Arabidopsis thaliana: one gene and its partners. The protein of the gene in region 2 interacts with the protein of the main gene of each other region in a pairwise test. Each region holds a gene or a part of one and is shown on either strand. Other genes may lie near its edges.

Evidence for each region.
Region 1: the proteins of AT4G08520 (region 2) and AT3G05640 interact in a two-hybrid assay, tested with the Arabidopsis thaliana proteins (one large-scale study listed by BioGRID).
Region 3: the proteins of AT4G08520 (region 2) and SHM3 interact in a two-hybrid assay, tested with the Arabidopsis thaliana proteins (one large-scale study listed by BioGRID).
Region 4: the proteins of AT4G08520 (region 2) and AT1G15810 interact in a two-hybrid assay, tested with the Arabidopsis thaliana proteins (one large-scale study listed by BioGRID).

What each region holds. Positions count from the first base shown.
Region 1 is NC_003074.8:1,639,815-1,644,932, forward strand, and holds AT3G05640 (Protein phosphatase 2C family protein), read right to left. Parts: upstream 3,440-5,118; 5' UTR 3,035-3,439; intron 2,452-3,034; 5' UTR 2,414-2,451; coding exon 2,165-2,413; intron 1,892-2,164; coding exon 1,598-1,891; intron 1,505-1,597; coding exon 1,387-1,504; intron 1,288-1,386; coding exon 1,064-1,287; intron 988-1,063; coding exon 796-987; 3' UTR 536-795; downstream 1-535. Other genes in the region: PLDP2 (phospholipase D P2), read left to right, coding at 57-291.
Region 2 is NC_003075.7:5,415,621-5,421,185, reverse strand, and holds AT4G08520 (SNARE-like superfamily protein), read right to left. Parts: upstream 3,978-5,565; 5' UTR 3,798-3,977; intron 3,321-3,797; 5' UTR 3,300-3,320; coding exon 3,285-3,299; intron 2,444-3,284; coding exon 2,284-2,443; intron 2,079-2,283; coding exon 1,931-2,078; intron 1,844-1,930; coding exon 1,766-1,843; intron 1,134-1,765; coding exon 1,049-1,133; intron 951-1,048; coding exon 891-950; 3' UTR 547-890; downstream 1-546. UniProt on the Arabidopsis thaliana protein: The coatomer is a cytosolic protein complex that binds to dilysine motifs and reversibly associates with Golgi non-clathrin-coated vesicles, which further mediate biosynthetic protein transport from the ER, via the Golgi up to the trans Golgi network.
Region 3 is NC_003075.7:15,688,889-15,694,933, forward strand, and holds SHM3 (serine hydroxymethyltransferase 3), read right to left. Parts: upstream 4,102-6,045; 5' UTR 3,828-4,101; intron 3,461-3,827; 5' UTR 3,447-3,460; coding exon 3,230-3,446; intron 3,117-3,229; coding exon 2,921-3,116; intron 2,833-2,920; coding exon 2,658-2,832; intron 2,574-2,657; coding exon 2,456-2,573; intron 2,377-2,455; coding exon 2,264-2,376; intron 2,152-2,263; coding exon 2,029-2,151; intron 1,932-2,028; coding exon 1,827-1,931; intron 1,741-1,826; coding exon 1,654-1,740; intron 1,561-1,653; coding exon 1,453-1,560; intron 1,346-1,452; coding exon 1,273-1,345; intron 1,029-1,272; coding exon 754-1,028; 3' UTR 548-753; downstream 1-547. Other genes in the region: AT4G32530 (ATPase, F0/V0 complex, subunit C protein), read right to left, coding at 4,511-4,937, 5,781-5,858, 5,943-6,045; AT4G32535 (uncharacterized protein), read left to right, coding at 5,280-5,356, 5,416-5,514, 5,620-5,728. UniProt on the Arabidopsis thaliana protein: Catalyzes the interconversion of serine and glycine and directs the hydroxymethyl moiety of serine into the metabolic network of H4PteGlu(n)-bound one-carbon units.
Region 4 is NC_003070.9:5,442,302-5,447,111, reverse strand, and holds AT1G15810 (S15/NS1, RNA-binding protein), read right to left. Parts: upstream 2,893-4,810; 5' UTR 2,617-2,892; coding exon 1,749-2,616; exon of another isoform or gene 1,587-1,748; coding exon 1,504-1,586; exon of another isoform or gene 1,354-1,503; coding exon 1,242-1,353; intron 1,133-1,241; coding exon 1,080-1,132; intron 985-1,079; coding exon 841-984; 3' UTR 548-840; downstream 1-547. Other genes in the region: LHCB6 (light harvesting complex photosystem II subunit 6), read left to right, coding at 1-427; AT1G15800 (uncharacterized protein), read left to right, coding at 3,528-3,863.

The DNA of each region.
Region 1 (5,118 bases), on a different chromosome or scaffold from region 2:
TAAACGCAACTGAGAGATGATCAAATCTGCTTCTGACTTTGTCTTTCTAAACACAGAGCTGCATTGAGACACAATATGGCTCTTTGTAAAGACAAGTTGGGTCACACTACGATCGACCTTGGCATTGCACCGGAGAGGCTAGAATCATGCGGCAGCGACTCGTGGGAGATTCTGAAGGAGACAAGAGGGAACCTTGTGTGCTTCCCATTACAGTTCATGTGTGATCAAGAAGATCTCAGACCAGGTTTCAACGAATCTGAGTTCTACACTGCTCCTCAAGTCTTCCACTAACCACTATTTATTGTACGCCCAGTTCTCTTTAATCAGTTAATAGAGTACCTAAGCTCACACGTTACTTATGTATAGAGATGTTAGTTATATAGAAAGAAGAAATTCATTTGATTGCTTCCTAGGTTCGCAGAGGTATGTGTGTGTATAGTATACACTTCTTGTAAATCATAATGTTTATGTGCCTCAAGCTGTACAATACATCTTCAATTGCGGATATGTTCTTACAACTTTGGAGTTGATATATGTTTGATTCTTGTTCCAAAAGCTTGTTTCCTCATCACATGTTTCATAATAACTTAAGAAGTTTCCCACTTTTTAAATGATTATTAAAATTACAAGTAACCAATTGTGTTCTTTAGATTGTGATAGGACTCTGGTTTGGCAAGAAAGTAATATTCAATGCGATTTTACGCAAGTCTATCTACATTGCAGCATTTTTTCTTTTCTTGCCCGGTCCAAAAGTACTAGTACCTACTTGCAGGTCGTGGCATGGAGAAGATGTTGCTATAGAGATGGCGACGACGATGAAGAATGGAAGAAGAGGCACACGGCAGAGATATCATCCATGGCGATTCCGCGTCTCTTTCTATTCCAAGCCCTAACTGCTTGCTGTACCAGTCGCTTGGCAGCTTTTGCCCGCTCCGCCGTCGAGGAAACAATATCTATGGCCTCTTGGTTTGATATCACATCCCATACCTATAATGTTTCAATTACATGACTACGCTGCCAATATAAACTAACAAAACAAAGTTGCTTATTCAAATGTTCTTACCCCATCAGTGGCCAAGATTATAAACTGGTCTCTAATGGATATATGCCTCTGAGTGACTTCAGGCACTGAGACCAATCCGTAATCTTTGATACAATAGTCTCCGAATGCTCTTGACATTGCGAGCCCCGGAGATTCATCTACTGGTTGCCATACACGGTGGACCCCTGGCTCATCTTGAAGGCAAAATACTCTCCCGTTGCATCCGATTATCCGCTCTTCCTCCTCTGTTTTAATAAGAAACAAAATTTGAAAGATAAAGATTCAGAACTGCTTAGCTAAATGCACTGAGATTTACATGATTTATTTATGCTTATGGAACTAACGAGGCAGGTTTGGCTTGAAATCTACGGTGAGCTGAACCGCGACCAAGCTTCCTTCGTCTGAAACTGTGGCCAATACCGCACGTGAATCCCCGACGTTTGCTATATAAATAACATCACCCTGTAGCAAGAAACCACTTAAGGATTAATGAACAGAGTAGCCTTTTTACAAGATTTTCTTCATATGAGGTAATGAATCTGATGCTCCATTTACCTGTCTCACAATGGTTAGAGCGGTCGTACCGCTGTTGAAAGAATCTATCTTTCGGTGATGCTCAAGCTCCAGATCAACAGCTTCACAGGTTTTGAGGAATGAGTATTTCCAGATTGCAAACCGCTGTAGCTCTTTATCGGGTTCTGCTATTGTGGTCTGAGAAAGAGTCTCTTTCCAGTTACAGAGCAAAGATATAGGCATTGAGTTTCTGACTTGTTTAGAAACAAAGTGTCCCCAGGGACCATGTCCATCGAATATCCCACAGAATATCATGTCTTCTTGACACCCATATCCCTGTTTCAGAAATTGTCAAAACATGATGAACAAATATTCGCAAATCAGTGTTTAAAGACCGTAATATCGGATAACTTAAAATCAACGGTAGAAGCATATAATGCGTTAAACTTAAGATCTTTGGACTGGTGATAATAACCCTAGATACAGAGGAGCATCCAAAACAAGCTAGAGGCACACGCACACGAAGCGAATTGTGCTAAGTAAACGCCAAAGACTGCAAAAGTTCCAAATAACCCAGCTCTAAGATAACTTTTTGTAGAAGTAATGTACCTCCCAGACGATGGCACAGTCCTGATTAACGCCTTTCTCACCGCGTCTAGAGAAAACAGAAGCCAAGTTATTAGATCCATCTGCATTAATGCAACCAGAGGATCTCAAAATAAGTTCCTTCTTCTTCGCCTCTCTCGCCATTTCATCTGTGGCTTCCTTAGCGTAGCTTTTGCTGCTGTTGATGTTCTTCGCTTTCTTGATCGAGAAGGATCTAGCTATACCGTTGAACATGGAAGAGAAATGTCCCATTTTGTCCAGAAAGTGAAAATATCATATGATCTTGAACTCTGTAAATGATAAATTCATAGAGTTTCAGATAGTTGCATTATATCAAAGAGCAAGAGGGAGATAAAATAATGTCAAAGTAGGAAATTCGTTTTTTGAGATTCGTTTTCCCGGGAAAAAAACAGGGGATAAAATATAAATTTGAGGTATTTAAAACAGTTATAAGGACAATAATGATTATAAGAGAATATTCATATCTGACTTGGAATTCCATTAACACAAGCTCTAACATTCCTCTAGAGTTATAAAATATATAATAACTTGTACGTAATATAGAGAATAATAATGGATATGATCTCAACTTGAAGTCAAATCGAGTTTTCTCTTTTAAGAAAACATATTTGGAGATAACTTATCATTATAGAAATCAAGTTGCAAGATTCGGAAATTGGAAATTGAAAATCAAGTTAAACAATCTGGAAATTGGAAACCCTTTGCCTAATTTTTGTGAAAACAAGATTTTCTTGTTTTTGAAATTTAAGCTTTTTAATCTACAAAAATAAAATAAGAACTGTGAAACAAATATTGTTGAATTGCACCAAAAATGTTTTCAAAAAGTAAATCAATTTCACAACAAGAACGTACAGAGAGAGGGACTAGGAGGAAGTGACGTGATACACACACACCAGATAGATTACGCAATGCTGCTGAGGAATGGAAGGAAAAAGAAGTGAAGACCGGATATAGATGACGTAAGCTCGGAGAAAGTGACGTAACCATCCAAGGGAGAGGAAGCTAATGGAGTAGAGAAAGATAGACTCACAAATCAGAAATCACAATCCATTTTATGATGATCACGGTGGGTAGACACAGGGAAGAACCAAACTTAGATATTTCTCTAAATTTATTTATTTATGGGGTTCTCCCTCTGTTCCCCTCTTATTTTCTTGTGGCATGATAATAAAGGCAGAGACGTAGCAAGACATAGTCTTTTGTCGTTAGTGGGTTATATATCTATTTATTATAAATCCTAAATTCCTAATGCAATTTAACTTAATTATTGGTTAGGGAAACTAGATATATGTTTGTGAAAACGAAAAAATTGATAGCAAATTTACTGCTCGTGTGATATTTAAGTTTGGTACTAGTAAACAGTGATGCAATATGACAAAATGATCCAACCTATAGGCTAAAATGTAGGGTGAAAAATATCACAAATTTGAAAAGTTAGGTATTTGTATAAATAGTACATAAATGGCTACAGTGTTAAAAGCAAAAGTCAATAATGAATCTGTGATTATAACTATCTTTTGAGTTTTTTTTTGGTCAAGAAATGAAATTCTATCTTCGAGTTAATGACTAGTCTAGTAGATAACAATGTAGATGTTTTCGCGTAAGTGATCAGTATATCAAAATAGGCCAATTTAGACTTTATTGTTTCTTTTCATAAACTTTGGTAATTAAGTTCAATAATGCAAAAAGATTGTTTCCGTAACGGGAAAAAATCAATTAGAAAATAAATGGCGTTGGCCTTTGAGCATACAAACCGAATAAAGTTCCGAAGATCGTAGCCATACACGTTTAACATGAAGATTCTAAATTATGAAAATTTTAAATAATGTCAAAAGGTCCATGCTTGTATACCTACCTCGAAACTAAAAAAAAATAAAAATAAAGTGAAACCAAATTTTGAGATTTTAAATTACGCAGTCTATATATCTCATGAAAAACCGAAAATAACAAAAATTTAGGTAGATTCGGTATTACCATCTAACCTTAGGGTTACATACTCTAGGCTCTAGCTATTATCAAAAGATTTCCATTAAAATAGTAACCCGAATCGAAAACCGTAACGTCACAGATTTGCAATTAATAAGACGCCGTGACGAAACTGTACTACAAGAAGCCTTTTCCCACAAGTGTATAGCGGACTAGCGGTGAGTGGACCCAGAGCGATGACCTGTTTGATGTGGTCGGCAACGATGGTGCAAAACAAAATCTTTGCATTGTCTCACGTAATTTAGAACTAATTACCACAAATGCCATTCAGGGTTGCGAAAGACCACCATATTTAAGATGATATTTCTGGCACGTGGGACAGAGCAACAAAGGATTCAGAGGAGAGCCTTTCGGTTTGAGGGCCAGACGCCGGTCATATCACAATTGAATGTGGAGGTTTCAGAGTAATATTTTTTTCGTTAGAAAAGTTAAAATTGGCAAAAGAGGCACGTGAGAACCACATTGATTAGTTCGGTCCTTGTAGGGTCCATGTTAGCGAGCACAATCTAAAAAAGGATCATGCCATTCGTCTGATTGACGCGTGGTTACCAGCAATCGCATGTGGGACGGTGCACCGGATAATGACACTTTCTTTGTGACTTTGTGTGCCGTGGCCTCTCGTTCCACTCCCACCCAGTCCCAACATGACCATTTTTCTTGTTATTTTATTGCTAGTTTTTTTTTTTTAATCCATAGAGAACATCATCTGATCTTAATCATAATAATCAATAATCATTGGAGTGGACTATGGAAATGTTAGTATGTTGAGTGGCTTTTAATTGGTTGTTAGTTGTAAGAAAATGATAAATAGTTTATTATCCAGTTGATACTTGATACAGTATCTAGAAGACTAGAAGCATCATAATTGCAATCATTACAAGGCGATAGTCTTTTTGTCCATTTTTTGGTTGAAAATTCAATTAATTGCGCATTATCTTCCTAAGATTTGG
Region 2 (5,565 bases):
TTTGTTTGCCCGGACCTAGTCAAAAGATAGCTAAGAGATTTTGACCCAAAAAAATAAAAGATAGCTAAAGACTAAGAGATATGGCAAAAAATTTGTGAGCAAATATAAATTGGAGATTACTTTACTAGAACCAATTATAAAAAAGGTGTAGCACAAACTTTTCATATAAGAAGTAGGGCCGGGCAAAATATTTGTTCGATCAGTTTCGATTCGATATTCAATTTAATTCGATTCAAAAAATCCGAATATCCGTAAGATTTAAAACCAAAACAAATAGAAAAATAAAGTATTCATAAAAATCGAAGCAAATAATAAATATTATTTTTTTAAAAATCGAATATCCGCTTCTATTACGACATTCGCACTTTACGGGACTTTCTATAACTTGCATCCGCATTGATCTAAGTTGATAGACCATATTGTAAAACATTCTTTATACGATTCTCAATGTGCGTTTTTTTTTATAGAAATTCGGATTGCATCTCTCAGATTTTGGTCTTTCCTTAACCAATTTCGAACCACTGTCAACTGCTTTCTTCAGATGGATTGACGTCTAAACGGTAAACCGTTCTTTATTTCCACTTTGATTGGGCCACTGAACGACTTAGCTTATGAGAGATTTCCCATCTTAAATCGCAACACTTAAGATCAACCGTCTTAGATATGTAAAGCAATCAATCACTAGTGCAATGTTGATCCTCACATTTAAAAAGATGGTTCCGCAAGAACAGGCGAATAAAAGATCTAAGTTCCACCAAAAAACCATAAGAAAACAAAGTCATGAGATAGTTAAGTCAATAGGGGTTGATTTCTAGTGAACGGGTAACCATTTCAGATATGGTTGGTTACAAGGGCTTATGAATATATCATTTCGCTCCCACGATGAAAATTTATGTAAGAAGACTTCTCGCAAGGTGCTCCCGAGCTGTTGCCAATGCTTGAGTTAATGTCTACAATACAAAATCCAAAAAATGGTCAACCGCATGATTGATATAAAGATTATCGCTTTGCTCGAAGGTAGTTTAGTAGTAGTCATATTGCGTCTCACCTGTTCAGAGAGTGAACCACTTGCTTCTGCGCTTTGCATTGCTACTTTCCCCGCAATAACATTCGCGTCTGTTTCAAGTACCATCCTGAACAAGTTTCATAAGACAATACAAAGATGAGTATCACAGTGATAGGGATTCAAAACAGTTAAACTTCTTTATCTAGTTACTAAAGAATTACACTTTCGAGAGACTTCATTAGCGAGAAAAGTCTCTACACTCTCAACCAATGCCCAAACCAAAACCCTCAACAAATCCAAAATGCCCCTAATGAATTCTCTAAGCTGTCTTTTAAGTCTTCAGCTATCAACTAACGGACGTAAGGTCTGTTCCTGAATTGGCAAAGCTACATATCCCATAACCCCCCCTTAGGCTAGTTGCAAATATTCTGCACTAGACTTAACAAGAACGCTTCAACACACGGCCAGAAGTTGTTCATCAATGATCAAACAATAAGTTCTCATAGTATCTAAGTACCAGATCTCACTATGTCCGTATTTAGCTCAACTCCATCAGCATATTAGAAAGCTAATTGTTAAGATATGAAGAGCAAGCTAAACTCAGCAATCTTTTAACTCTACACACCCATGTTTAAGAGTTGCAATAGATTTCCGAACTCAGTAATCTTTTAACTCTTGTGCAAGGCTAAAATGATAGATTTCCGAATTTAACATAGTAAAAAAATCGTAGAATAGTATTTGAAAGCATATGTAGCATACCCTTGATCAACCATCTCATCAAGGCACAAAAAGATGAGATCCAAGTTTTCAAGGGCTTCCATCTTTTCAACATTGTTCCTGTAAGGAGAAAGGATGTTCAACTTTAATTTCGTATATCACTGATCAAGAAAGGCACATAGTCATTTGTTAAGGTGGGTTAAATACCTCAGAAGTAACGCAACAGCATCAAAAAAGCCTTGAAGAACAGATGATAAGACGAGCTCGTTTTCATTTTCACCTCCAGTAACAAAGAAATGCAGGTCCTGGGCAAACTTATAGACAACAATATTACTCTCCAACAGTGTGATCTCAGCTGCAAAAAGTAAACATAAAAAAAAAAAATTATACACACCTACAAGTTGTTTGAAACAGGAAATATGCACATATGTAATCAGGAAACCCAATAGACAGCCAACAAGTAAAATATAATCTGAAGCTTTCATACTCCTATGATACAACAAACAGAGAACTACATATATAAATACTGTACATGTGTTGAAGTTTCAATTTGATCTTACCTTCTGTGCGAGCATTGGTCTTGGAGGTTTTCGAGAAGACATATTTTTCAAAAGCTAACTTGGAAGCATTAGTTGCCCAATCATCGGAGTAATACTTGACAGCCACACGCTTTCCTTCAGAGTCTAGAAGAAGAATGTTCTTTACCAAAGGACAAGAATCCTATTCATTGTAGACCAGATAGTCAGCATGTAAGTACTAAGAGAGAGAAGCACAAGCAGAAGCGAGAATCCTTAAAATGGATCATGTAAGTTTGAACTTCTACAACAGCAAAGTAGATAAAGATCACCAGTCCAACTATCACCAATCATATGGACAATTACACAGGGTCCAAAGCCTAAGTTTCTTGAGTATTTGTTGCCACCAATCAAACTAAAAAGCTAAATCAGCTACTCAATACTCATCATCTATGGCTTGACCAGATAGGCCAATCAAACCTATGGTGCTAAATGCTAATACATAAATTTGCTAAAAACACTTAGGACAAAAGATAATACAAGCTTTAGTTAAATTCAACCTGGCCAACAAAAGGACATACAAAAACATGACACACCAGACAAATGGCAGCTCCAACAGATAGAATCCAAATTATTTTGCATCAACAAACAAATGATGATATTGCACAAAAGCAGATTCATAAGCAATTGGAATTTTCTCAGCAGCAAAAGAACGTTTACAAAAATCTACCAGAACTTATGTTACTTAGACAGTAACAAAGCCTAATTATGCTTCCAGATTGAAAGATGCAAACAATCTTAGAACAATAGGGGCATGAACCTAAGATTCGTCACACCTTCTGAAAACATACTTACCCACTCAACAAACAAAACAAGAAAAAATCAATCTTAACATAGTGATCTTATACACAAACAGAGGAGATTATATTACACCACAATGCAAAGAATCTCATAAGTGTAACAAACCATAAAGCATCACAAGACTATTTACAGACAACAATATAATGATTCTTAACAGTATACAATGAGCTTAGAGATGTACTTACATTAGTCCCTGCCATTGTTTTTGATTCAAAATATACCTGAAAATAGTGATAAATTAAGTGTTATAACCACACACTACAAACACACAGAACAAAAACTGAGAAATCTATCTAATACATTTAGTCTAAGAAACAAAACTAGCACTGAATACACCAAGATCTAAGAAGAGAGTACTAGATCATCAGGGAAGATCTTAAAATTAAGGTTTCTACATAACCTCTAAGTCAAATTTCGATTCTCAATCTGAAAAACTTAACGATCAGATCTCTTACTGAAGCTATGAGAATGATAGATCATAATGGCAAATTGAAAACAATTAAAAACTTAGAAATCTACAGAGCCAAACAAAAATCTCATCAAAACTGTGAACGATAACAGAAAATATTTTATTCAGATCTCTAGAGAATGTCAATGGATCTTTCATCGATCTGACGAAATTAGAACGTAAATCATACGAATCTCGATAGGGATGAAGAAGCAATCAAACGGAGAAGACAAACTCGAGAAACTTTTACCTTTGAGATGGCTTTTTGAGCTGAAGAAGATGAGAGCTTGCGACGATGGTATGGAACTAACTGTTAAAGAAGACGCGAAGGTCTGATTATATTTTAGAATGAGTAGTCGGGATTCGGGAATATTGCAAATTAAACCCCAACATTTGAAATTATACAAACAAACCCAACATTTGAAAATCAGGAAACTCAAACTTAATTGTATAGTCTCCCGTTTACGCAAAATTAAATTAATAATAATATAACAAAATATGGTAAATTTCTCAGATAAATTCATCAAGGAGTATTTTGTAATTAATGTGTAGTTGGAAAAACAATATAATACTAAAATTTCAAAAAATAAAGATAATTATGTGAAAAGTTGTCTCTAACAAAAAAATGGAAAAACTTGTATATTTATATGAGAAGGATTGTAAATATTTTCGAAGATAAATTATAAATTACTTCTTCACCTCAAAATTTACTTGTTGAGGTCGTAAAGTCCGGATACATTGAGTTTGTAGAAATTCTACTTCGTTCGTGTCTCGACCTGCTATTGGAAGTTGATGATAACAATCAAAATCTATTTCATATTACTGCTTCAAATCGCCATGCAAACATTTTCAACAAAAATTATGATCCCCGAGCTAGGTAGGATTTGATAGTTTTGTATAAAGGCCCACTCCAAAATAATATTTTCCTTGTAAATGTTTACCATCTTCGGATCGGTTACAACAACACTTCAGATGCAAAGAGAACTACTATGGTCCGAGGTACAAAAAGCACAATTTATATGAAAAAGATTGTATAAATTTTAGTTCATATATTTAATTTTTTATATATTTTTTAAGTTTCAGATTTTAATAATAATTTAGGAAAGAATAATTTTCCAAATATAGAATAAATCTTTATATAAAGATACCTAAAAATGTTGAAATATGATAACTTGTCTCTAACAAAAAATCGAAAAATTGGCATATCCTTAAAATATGTAATAAAATTAAAATTAGATCTAAGAGATGGGAGGTATACATTTTATTTCACTTTTGAAATATTTTTTTTGTTAAATACTAATTTTGGAACCTTTGGTAGACAGTTATACCATAATCATTTATAGATAAGAATGGAAATTATATTTGTGCCATCTATGCACTAAATATTATAATCGCCATTAACTTGAGAGTCTTGACCAGAGTCCTTGCAATATTAAGAAAGTTCAGTTCAAATAACAGACACATAATTTGTTGTGGAGAATCATAAAACTAATTCATTCATACCTCAAGTGCTTTATCAAAATCATCTAGCTTATTGATCCAGAGTGCTTCTGGCTTTCAGAGTTGATAGTACCCAGTCTTTTATTCACGTAATCTAATTATGCCTTTAATGCATCTATTTTGAAGGATCTCTAATCATCGAGATAAGATCCTCTGGGACGTAGTCATAGCTTCTTGATGAGTTCACTGTCTTGCCATATTTTTAAAAACCATTCTTTTCCAAGACCACATCAAGATCGGGACTGATGTTTATTTCTCCATTGAGAACTCTTTGGACAATTGCTAATTTGGACTCTAACTTATTCCGCTCAAAAGTTAAAATATCCACCATATAATCATGTGTATTAGGAGTAAGATTAGTTACTAAAACAAGACCATTGCCTTAATAACTAAAACAAGACCCATAGTGTCTGATTTACATACCTTCCTTTCACCACACCATTTTAGCCTCTCTTCCTTAAAATCTTGAAGGACCAAAAAACTGATATTAATATTAATTAAGTGATAACTAATTATTT
Region 3 (6,045 bases), about 10 Mb from region 2:
AGAAGAATCAAAGCCTAAAAACACTTGAGTTTCCATATTAATGTTGTTTAACTATACAAATCGATCAAACAAAGGAGAAAATCCGAAATGAAATCAATGACGTACGTACAGACAGAGACACAGAGGTGCATGCGTAAACCAAAGTCTCAAGGAAGAAAGTAAGATCGCACGCACCTGGAGGAGAAGAAGAAAGCGATGGCCGCCGCCGTAATAGAAAAATCGACCAACGTGAGAGATCCGATTTCCGGTGAGATATATAATCCGGTGGGGAGCGAGGGAGAAGAAACGAAACAAAAAAAAAAAGCAGATAAAATCTGTTATCGTTGAATTTGGGATCTCTCTCTTTCTTTTGTTTTAGTTTTAGAAAGAAAGAGAGAGAGAGAGAGAGTCTATCCCTGAGAGGAGGCAGAGATGAATATTTGGAGAAGGCAACAAAAAAAACGCATGAAAGAGAAAGATTGGGTGAGATATATTCGCCACATCCCGCGAAATATTTGCTCTCTTCGCTAAAAACAATTTTTCAAATTATTATTATTTTTTTCTTTCACAACAACTGATTATACTAAATATTGATTGAGATTTGGGAACATAGACGAATCATTGTTCCACAAATAAATTTATTTTTGAAAATAATTTCTCTCGATTCAACTGTAACTTTAAACTTGGGACACAAGCAAGTAAAAACCCTAAAAGACAGATGAAAAAGGTGAATAATTAAGGTACAACAAGAGCATATCTGTGTGTGTTTATAGCTTAAACGCCAGGAATGGGAAAACGAGATGTGAAGGTTTCCACTCTCTCCTTTAGACTCTTCACTCTCTCTTTCAATGGAAACTCAGGAGATGTCACGAACTTGTTGAAATCTTGAAGCTTTGAACCCGGCGCGGCTTTCTTGGCTTCCATTGTTATCTCCACACCTTCCTTGATGAAGTCAGCCACTACTACAAAGTCTTTCTCTGACAGTCCTCTTGTCGTCATCGCGGGGGATCCTATCCTTATTCCCCCTGGTACCAACGCACTTTTGTCCCCTGTTTCACCATTTCACATACACAACAACACTGTCTCAATTTCACTACTCTAGGGGAATCAAACATATAAATATAGCAATTGATGATTTTGCTATAACAACAATTAAGCATTTCTTTAACAGTTGTGTTCTACAAGTTCTACTTATCGACTTCATTTCTGTTTTGTAAAAGAGTAAGAGGGCTTCTCTCAGAATTGACTTTTCAAATGGGAAGAAGAAGACCGAGAGTAGGAGGACGAACTCACCAGGGACAGAGTTCTTGTTGAGAGTAATAGATGCCATGTCTAAGATTTTCTCAACCCGCGCACCATCCATACCCTAACCACAACAAAAATGTTAGACTGACACCGCATTATCATAAGTGATTTTCTGGTTTAAGAAAAAAGTTGATTTATTCAAGCCATTAATACAGTTTGTAAACTTACCATGGGTCTAAGATCGACGAGAACCAAGTGGTTATCGCTGCCACCAGAAACTAGCTTAAACCCGAGTTCAACCAATCGGTTAGCTAGAGCTCTACAGTTAGACACAACCTAAACAAGCAGCAAAAGATTCTTGTTAGAAGCAAAATTTACAAACTTTATCCGGTGCAGAAGAACTTAATGATCAAGTAAAAGGGTGGGTACTCTTTTCTGGTACGCCTTGAATTCCGGTGATTGTGCGTGTTTCAAGCAGACTGCTAATCCTCCAATTGTGTGGTTATGAGGGCCACCCTTCAAATATACAATTCAGACAACTTTTAATCACGTTGGGAGAAGAATTATCTAAGAGAGCTAAAAATAATGGTGAATATCTCAACCTGCAAACCAGGGAAGACAGCATTGTTCACGGCAGATTCAAGATCAACCCCATTAATTGGATCCTTCCTGAAGAAGATCATGCCACCTCTCGGACCTCTCAAAGACTAGTAAGGTAAAAGTGTGTTACTAACAGATAATCTGGAAACGCTTTTTGTCTAAATACAAATGGAAATCATGTTTCATATTTCGGAACATACATACCTTGTGAGTTGTTGTTGTAACAATATCACAATACTCAAAAGGGTCAGCTACCACAGAAGCAGCCACAAGCCCACTGATATGAGCCATATCCATCATCAGAAAAGCACCAACTGAGTCTGCGATCTTCAGAAATTCATACAAATTGTGAGGAAAATGAAATAACAGATTTATATTTGAAAGCCAAAAGTAGACAGAAACATGAAAGGTGTTTTCAAGGATCAGGTTGTGTTTCTACCTTCCTCATGCGAGGATAGTCAAAATCTCGGCTGTATGCACTAGCTCCTGCGATAATAAGCTTTGGTCTGAAAAGTGTAGCAGTTTTCTCGAGCATATCGTAGTCAACAATGCCTGTTCAAATATTCAGACATCAGGAAATAGCCTCATACAAAAGTAGTTTCAGAGACCCTTCTCATAAGAAATGCATTACCTGTTGATTCATCAAGTCGATAAGGCATGGACTCAAAGTATATTGAAGTTCCAGATACACGCCTTTTAGCGGTCATGAACCCATGCGACAGATGACCACCGTGAGGTAAATCCAAACCCTAATCGTATAAAACAAGCCATTATATTCAATCTATATCAAGCACACAAGTAAAGCGGAGATGAAGAGTGCAAAAGTTCTTTACCATGATCCGATCATGAGGGCTAAGTATCGCAGTGTAGACAGCAAAGTTTGCAGGTGAACCAGATAACGGCTGAACATTAACCCCCCATTTCGTAGAATCTAAGCGGAAGGCTGCCAAAGCCCGGTTCTGGCAAAGCGTCTCCAACTGATCAATGTACTCATTGCCACCATAATATCTGTGAGACATGGACAACAGAAATACTATGAAATCTAGCAGATGAGACAGAAGTGCACCACAAAAACTAATCTTACATACTTCATTACCTTTTACCAGGCAGTCCCTCAGAATACTTGTTGGTAAGGCATGAGCCAACCGCCTCCATAACTGCTCGAGACGTGAAATTCTCAGATGCAATAAGCTCCAAGCTCCTGAATTGTCTATCTTTCTCCTTTGTGATGATGGTTCGGACCTCTGGATCAACTTCACCAAGACCATAGTCCTCAAAAGGGATTTCTTTGCCTAGATATTCAGTCATCAAAAAGTAAAAAGAAATCAAAACCACGCATGAAACAAGTAAAAATATCTTTCACATCATCAACATAATCAAGGAAATGAAACTTAAACTATCTTACTGCTTATCTCGACATTAGGTAGCGAGACTGAAGATGCTCTCATTTCAGAGACCAGGTTTCTTTTCAGAAATGAAGAACGGAAAGGTTTTGAAATATTGAACTTCAACTGCTGAGAAAATTTGGTCACTGGAGGCATAATTGGGGGAAAGACAGATCCTTGAACCCGTCCAGGTTGCTGAAGAGAAGCCATCGAATTACCACCACAACAAGCTTGCATCTTTCTCTCTACTCCTAGACTCAAAAATTCCAAATGTCACATGAACGCAATAAACAGAGAGACCACTAATTTTACTCAGTAGATATCTGAACAAATATTCTCGTCTCAAATATATATATATATATATATATATATATATATATATATATATGTCAAAATTGTAAAAAAATCCTTGTTTTATCGCAAATTTTCCCAAAAGTGAACAACAAACGTGTTGAACTTTATCAGCTCATACCAACCAAACAATACATCAAATTACTAAATATAATAGATACAGCAGAGGGAATTCGCATTCAAAAACGGATTTTGAAAGGAAAATCTTTCGGAAACTAAAAACCCAGAAAGAGACAAGCGAGGAAACGAGAACAGAGTAACACTCACCGGAAAGGTAGAAAATTTGTGAGCTTTGGAGACGAGGTCGCTAAAAAGAAGGAAGACAGAGATTGAATGATACAGTGGAGGAGACGATGAAGTGACTATGTTTAGGGTTTTACGGGATATATCACAACAAAAAAAGCTCCGGGTTCCAGGAACGGGACAGCCACCTAAATATCACACGTGAAACGACGTCGTCTAGTGTGATGATTGGTTTAGGACAAAACGGTTCTGCTTGGTATGCAATTTGTATAGATCGAATTCTTTCATTGGTTTTGTTGGGTACAGCACTACACAGGGTGTGGCCAAAGAGGCAAGACCATTTGTATCAACAACATAATTGCTTGAGATAAATCATAACTTGAGAAAGAAAAAAAAAAGATAAAACATAACTACAGTATATAGAGGAAACAGACTTGATAAAATGACTAGTTCAGTTTTAACAAATCATATACAAACTCTTTGTCTTTGATTATAAGAGAATACAAACATGAAGATGTTCTCCAAAAGGACTTATTCAAAAGTTTTAAACAAATACAAAAAATTGGGGATCCAAAAGTGGTTCTCAGTTTTCACACAAGATTTTCGTCTAGACATTGGAACGATATAACAATGAAGATAATCAAGAAGCCATGTTTTTCCAGATTTGCAAGTAGACCACAACATATACAGACCGGATATATATATATCTATTTCGTTGGCCATGTCGCTTGTGCAGACATAATAATTCCCACAATAACTCCAAACAACCCGAGAGCACTCCCGAATATCTCGATCACAAGAATCTTTACAAAAAGTGTGGAGTTCTGAGCATCGGACAATGCACAACTGCTTCCAATGATTCCTACACATAACCTGCAAGAGAAATGTGGACCTCGGTTGCATATCTGACAATGGAATCCAAAAACCAAAACTGTAAGGAAGGAGAAAAGGGTAGATACAGACCCGCATACAAGGTTGGCGAATCCAACTATAATTCCAGATGCAAAGATTGCATATCCAGCTCTAAGAGACTCAGCATCATACATCTTTGAAGATGGGACACTCTCCAACTTTGTTTGCAGTATGATTGCAACAATAACTCCATATATAGCAACAGCTTCGCAAAAGATGACACTGGGACAGTTTAAAAGAACAAGAAATGCTTCGTCATTGTATACTTTTTGCATCTAATCTTGAGCCTAAAGCTCTGTTAAGTGTTAACAAAGTAGAAAATGTAGAATGCAAACACAACTGTTTCCTACTTAAGCATTCCTAAGTACTAGTGCCTTTACAGCCAAATGCTCTACTCAATATGGTTAAGAAATGGTGTGTGGTAATGACACTGTTGACACTGATGTTGCAGAGCATCTAACTCCAAGCCTGTAGCTCTGTAACAACAAATCAAATTGCATACACAGCTACTCCCTGTTAAGCATTCCTTAAATCTACCCCGTAGACCCATGGGATATAATAGCAATGACTGTGTTGAGTGTTTACTTAAGTGACTCCGGCCCAAGAATGAAGGAGCGGAATAGGAAGGCACCACAAATAACGTAAACACAAACTTTAAATCTATATCCCCTAATTTAACATTTAGCTATCTCGATGGTAGATATATGTTTCTGCTGAAATACGTGGAAAGACAAAAGACACTTCATTATCATTACATCCAGTGCTTGAATCCGCAAAGCCAGAGCCTTCACGATCCAAAGTTACTAGCCCTACCAACCAGATGAGTCCTTGAGAATTCTAAATTTCTACCTCCTGAATCCCAGGTCAACAACTTGTATCATAATGTGACAATCTACTCTTGCAGAGATGTGGCATTGAAATATCCAAATGAATCAAGCTACTCAGCGATGAATTCTCATTGCTATTCAGAACAAGACATGGAATCTACACAGTTCCTTAAAGCCACTAATTGATCAACCAAAGGAACAAAACTAGAATTAAAAAAGCTTGAAACTTTTAACGAACCTGATGAGATTCTTCGAAGTAATACGAGGAGCTTCTATAGCCGCACCGATCAAACTACTTCCCGTAATGTAAATTCCCCTGAATAAGACAAACCAAAAAAAGATGATGAAAAAGGTCAATGCTTTAATCTGCGGGGACGAAGAAGAATAAGATTCGATTTACCAGGCGGCACCGAGGACTGAGACACCGATCGAGATGGCGATTCCGATTGCGGAGAAAGTATACGGCGAGATCCTTACCAGCGCTGCGCCCCACGAGCTCGCAT
Region 4 (4,810 bases), on a different chromosome or scaffold from region 2:
CGTCGGCCAGGCCTGGAGCGGTGTGGCATGGTTTGAAGCTGGAGCCCAGCCAGACGCGATCGCTCCCTTCTCGTTCGGGTCGCTTCTTGGAACCCAATTGCTTCTCATGGGTTGGGTGGAGAGCAAACGATGGGTCGATTTCTTCAACCCGGATTCTCAATCGGTTGAGTGGGCAACGCCATGGTCGAAGACCGCCGAGAATTTCGCGAACTATACCGGCGATCAGGGATACCCCGGTGGGAGATTCTTCGATCCGTTGGGTCTCGCCGGGAAAAACCGCGACGGTGTTTATGAGCCGGACTTTGAGAAGCTGGAGAGGCTGAAATTGGCAGAGATTAAGCACTCGAGGCTCGCAATGGTTGCCATGTTGATCTTTTACTTTGAGGCCGGGCAGGGGAAAACGCCTCTCGGTGCTCTTGGTTTGTGAGAAAACGGCATGATGTTTTTGATTCTGTAGATACAATTTCTCTTCCAAAAACCTAATGTTTCTCTTCTTCAATGTGACATTTGGGAAAAGATCATCAAACCATTGCTATAAATGTAAAATGAAATCATGAGGCTTGTTCGTAGATAACTTTATTATCACAACTCAAATGTGAAAGGGAATACTAAACATCAATGAAAGAGATCCACAACTTCATTTCTTTGCCACAAATGCATGATTGAAGAGCTCCAGCTGAAACACTGGAGTAAGAGGACAAAATAGAATAGAGCGACTTTCTTCCCTAGAGTGGAAAATGCCTAACAGGGTTTGAACAGCTAAGTCTCACTCACAACAGTAAGTTGGTTGAACCAAAAGAGTGCACAGATACCATCATCGGGTCTCTAGTGCAATAAAGCTTAGCACTTGTAATCCGGGTTGTCACGAAGGCTGAGTTTTGACAGGACAAGGCAGTAAGAATCCCAGTCAGTTCGTCTTAGATATTTCAACAGTTTCTTCCGTTTCTGCACCATTCCTAAAAGTCCCTTCCGCGAATGCTTGTCCTACGGTACAGCCACCAACAGGTATGACATAAGGTTCCACAAGAAACTGGGATGGATAGCTTCACAAAAATATCGAAAACAGTTTGAAGTTTTACCTTTTTGTGCAAACTTGAGGATAAATGCTTGATCTTAGTAGTGAGTTGTGCCACTGTAAGGAGAGACCAGAGACATCACAAGACAATCTATCTTAGAACGTGTAAACCTTTAAATGGCTAAAGTCAACATTGATCAGACCACTGGCCTTATGTAGAGTTTACCTTGCACACGTGCAGAACCACAGTCTGATTCTGACATCTTGAACTCTTCCCTGACTTTCGAGAGCTCAATTTTCATCTTCTCCGCAGAGGACATGTTATCTGGGTGGAAATACTTTGTTGATGCAGTCAAACAAAACAGATCAATACCCATTGTCACAACAGATCAACACAGAATTGTAGAAACTATCATATAAGCCTTTTGGTTCATGACTAATTAAAGTGACAAGCTACTAGCTCTAAAGTCTAAGAGCGAAAAGCTTACAGTGTCAACTAGATCCTCTTTTGGAGGAAGAAGCTTGTATTCAGGGATACCACCGAGATGGCCCATAATGGCGACATTCTGCTCTGCAAGCAAAGAAACCTCGTTATATCACATAAACATCATTTCAACAACAAAAATCAAACCAAGATCTCAACACCTCGAGTCCTAAGCAAAGACAACCAATTAAAATTCGCAAAGATTAGACACAGAGAGAGAGAGAGAGTAATGAGAGGCTCAGAACGTACGGGAACTAGCTTCAGAATTCTCATTCTTAAATGATGAAATAACATTTCTGAGTTGGGCAAAGTTCTTAGTCCGATATTGTGCCTCTTTCTCTTCAACTTGCCTTAGCTTAACCAATCTCTGATTCAACTCCTCCAATGAGAACCATCCTTCTTTTTTCTCTCCTTCTGGCCTAAGCGTCCTTAGTTTCTCACCTAATTCTTCTTCGTTATAAAACATTAAGAACTCCGTCATCGCCTCCTCTGTTTCACCTTCACTTCCCTTACTCTCATCCATTTGTGTTTCGAACAGGTATTTTGGCAATGCTTCACCTACAGTGCTCTTGAAACTTCCTAAAACCCCTCCTCTCTTCCCCATGTTGTTTGAAGTGTTAATCTGCGTCCTCAAATTCTTTAAAGTTTCACTTACAGTGTTTGAATTGAAACCCTGAGCTTTCGAATTTCTAGGATCCGATGAGTTTGTTGCAGCGCTCTGCTTATAGAGGCCCGCTAAGGAAATATAAGACGGAGGCTGTACGCCGCCTGAATCCCTCGGAGGTGGAACGGTGGATCTCCGCTGAAACTTGGCGAGATTCTTCCCCAAGTTTTGGGAGAAACTAGTCGATCCGCGATTCTGAGATTGTGCATCGGATCTGTCAAATGGTTTCCTTCCTTGCTCCTGCTGGTTCTGTAATTTCAGTTTCAGAGTGTTCTTGATGTCGAAGATCGGAGAAGAGTCTGACGGTGACGGAGAAGATGGTGACTGAGACGGTTTTTCAACCGGTGCGTTCGTGAATTGGGGAGGTGAGTCCGATGAGGAATTGGAGAAAAATCGAATCAAAGATGTGTTTGATGGTAACCTTTGGTGGCGTCTGGCGAGATGAAGCGCCATGATTTTGGTTGCTCCTAAGGATTTTAGGGCTTTGGGTGTTTGCGAGAGAGTGTAAGTGATGACGATAACAGATTAAGGTAGAACCGGTTTAAGTGCATTGAACTGTTGACTTTTCCGGTTAGTTATGAATCAGAAATGGTCAGGCAAAATCTGATTAAGAACCGGATATAATTCTTACATTGCAACATGACGGACATGTGAAAAGGCCCAATTCATCTTTCTGTTTTCGACCCATGTACCCACAACAAAGCCCTTAGGTTTTTCGAATTTAGCGACCATTTAATAATTGGATAATTTGTTTCAAATTTTTGGAGTATTATGGACAGTAAATACTGTATGAATGGACATTAAATTATAATTTTCAATCCTAGCCAAAAAAGAAAAAGAAAACGAGTTCAATGCATACTTAATATAAATACATAAGTTAACTAATCCTAATTTCGTAAAACTTTATCCTACATAGGCAATATGGCATCTATCTACAATCATGAAGTACGAAAATGTGATTCAAGTAAGAATGACCTCACACGTCCACAAATTTATCCCGAAACTGCATATGATAAGAGTAATGGATGTAACTGAACCGGCACGCAAGCCATAAAGATGTCACTAACCGCGCGTGTATTCAGACGCTAACCCTAGTACCTTTGCAATTGCACAAAGTACAAATACTATATGCCACGTATGTATTCCCATGGGTCCCACTCTCACCAAGAAAGAAAATAAAAGACAGATTTAAAAATAATTTTTCAATCTAATAACTGTATGTGTGAAAACGTTATATATAATAAAAATCCACCCATTAATGTGCCACGGGAGATTTTTTCTTCTTCTCCACTTTTCGCCACCATTTCTTCTCCTTCTCTTTCTCTCTCTCTATCTAAATTCGGTGGAAGGTCCAACCTCAGACTATGACCGGCGGAGACTGGATTCACGAGGCTATGGGTGATGATTCATTAGTGGCGGAGGCTCTGATCTGTCTCCTCCATGCCGAGCCGTCACTTCCTGAGACGAAGAGCGGCGGCGCGTCGGATCTCAAGCTGAAGTGGAGCGTGCGTCAGCCGAGGACCAAGGCGGCGACGTTAAGGAAGAAGGGAGATCATGATACGCGTGCTAGTCCCACGACCCCACTTTCATGGAGCGGCGCAACCTCTTTTAGCGGCGGTGGAGGCGGTGCTGCTGCTGCCGTTGATGGATTTGAGGAGTCAAGTGGCGTTGTGAAACTGTCTGAGGCCGTTAGATCTAAGGTTCGTTCGATAATTTCCCTTTGGTTTATATGTTCAACAGTTTTTGAAACTTCTGCTTTACTCTGTTCTGTGTGTTTGACAACTATACCCCTCGGGATGCGGCGTTTTGACGGTGACTAGCCACCGGGTTATAACGAAGCCTAGTCGTACTTTTTACCTGATATCCATTTTCACGTAATCTCAGTCTTCCTTGTTTTCCGCAACTACTTCCAGTTTTGCCCCTCTATGCCTATTTGTTTCTCTTGAGGCCATTTACGTCATTTTAGTCCGGGATCGGCTTCTTCGCCGGTCACGCCATCTTGGCCTTTCTATCTATACTCCGACTTAGCGTTGACCGATAATATCACTCTGTTACTCTGACGTGATCACGTTCTTTTTCTTCATAGATGAAACTCAAAACCTATCTATCTTCTTTGCTTTTTCCTATTTTTGCAATCTAGTGCCTCCTCACATCGAGATGATGGTGATTGGTGTTGGTGGCCAAGTTTCACGTCACGATGCTTGGTTCCTGAAACTGTTCGCTGAATTCAAGCCAGTTAAATTACCCAGTCATCACCGATTCAATGACGAGATTACCCCCGTTCACGCAGTGTGTTTTAGGGGTAGTTGGGTCAATGAGAGAAGTTATGTCTGGCGTTATTTATAATAGCTTATAATGAGGGTTGCCTCTTTTATGGGTCGAGAGGCGTTTTCGTGGCGGATTAGGTTTGGGGGTTTGGTGCGTCTGTGGTGTAATCAGATGCGGCGTGGAACATAATAAGTCTCATAGGTAATAATGGGCTGACATGGAAAAAAGAAAGTCAAAAACTCTCCGAAGCATCTCTTGGTCAAAATCACTAACTCCTTTCATATTGGTTTAGCTCTTTTTCTCTATGGTTGAAGCTGAATTATCTTACCAAAGTAGAACCCACAAAGTCATCAGTTTTGGGTTTGTGATTAAAAGAACG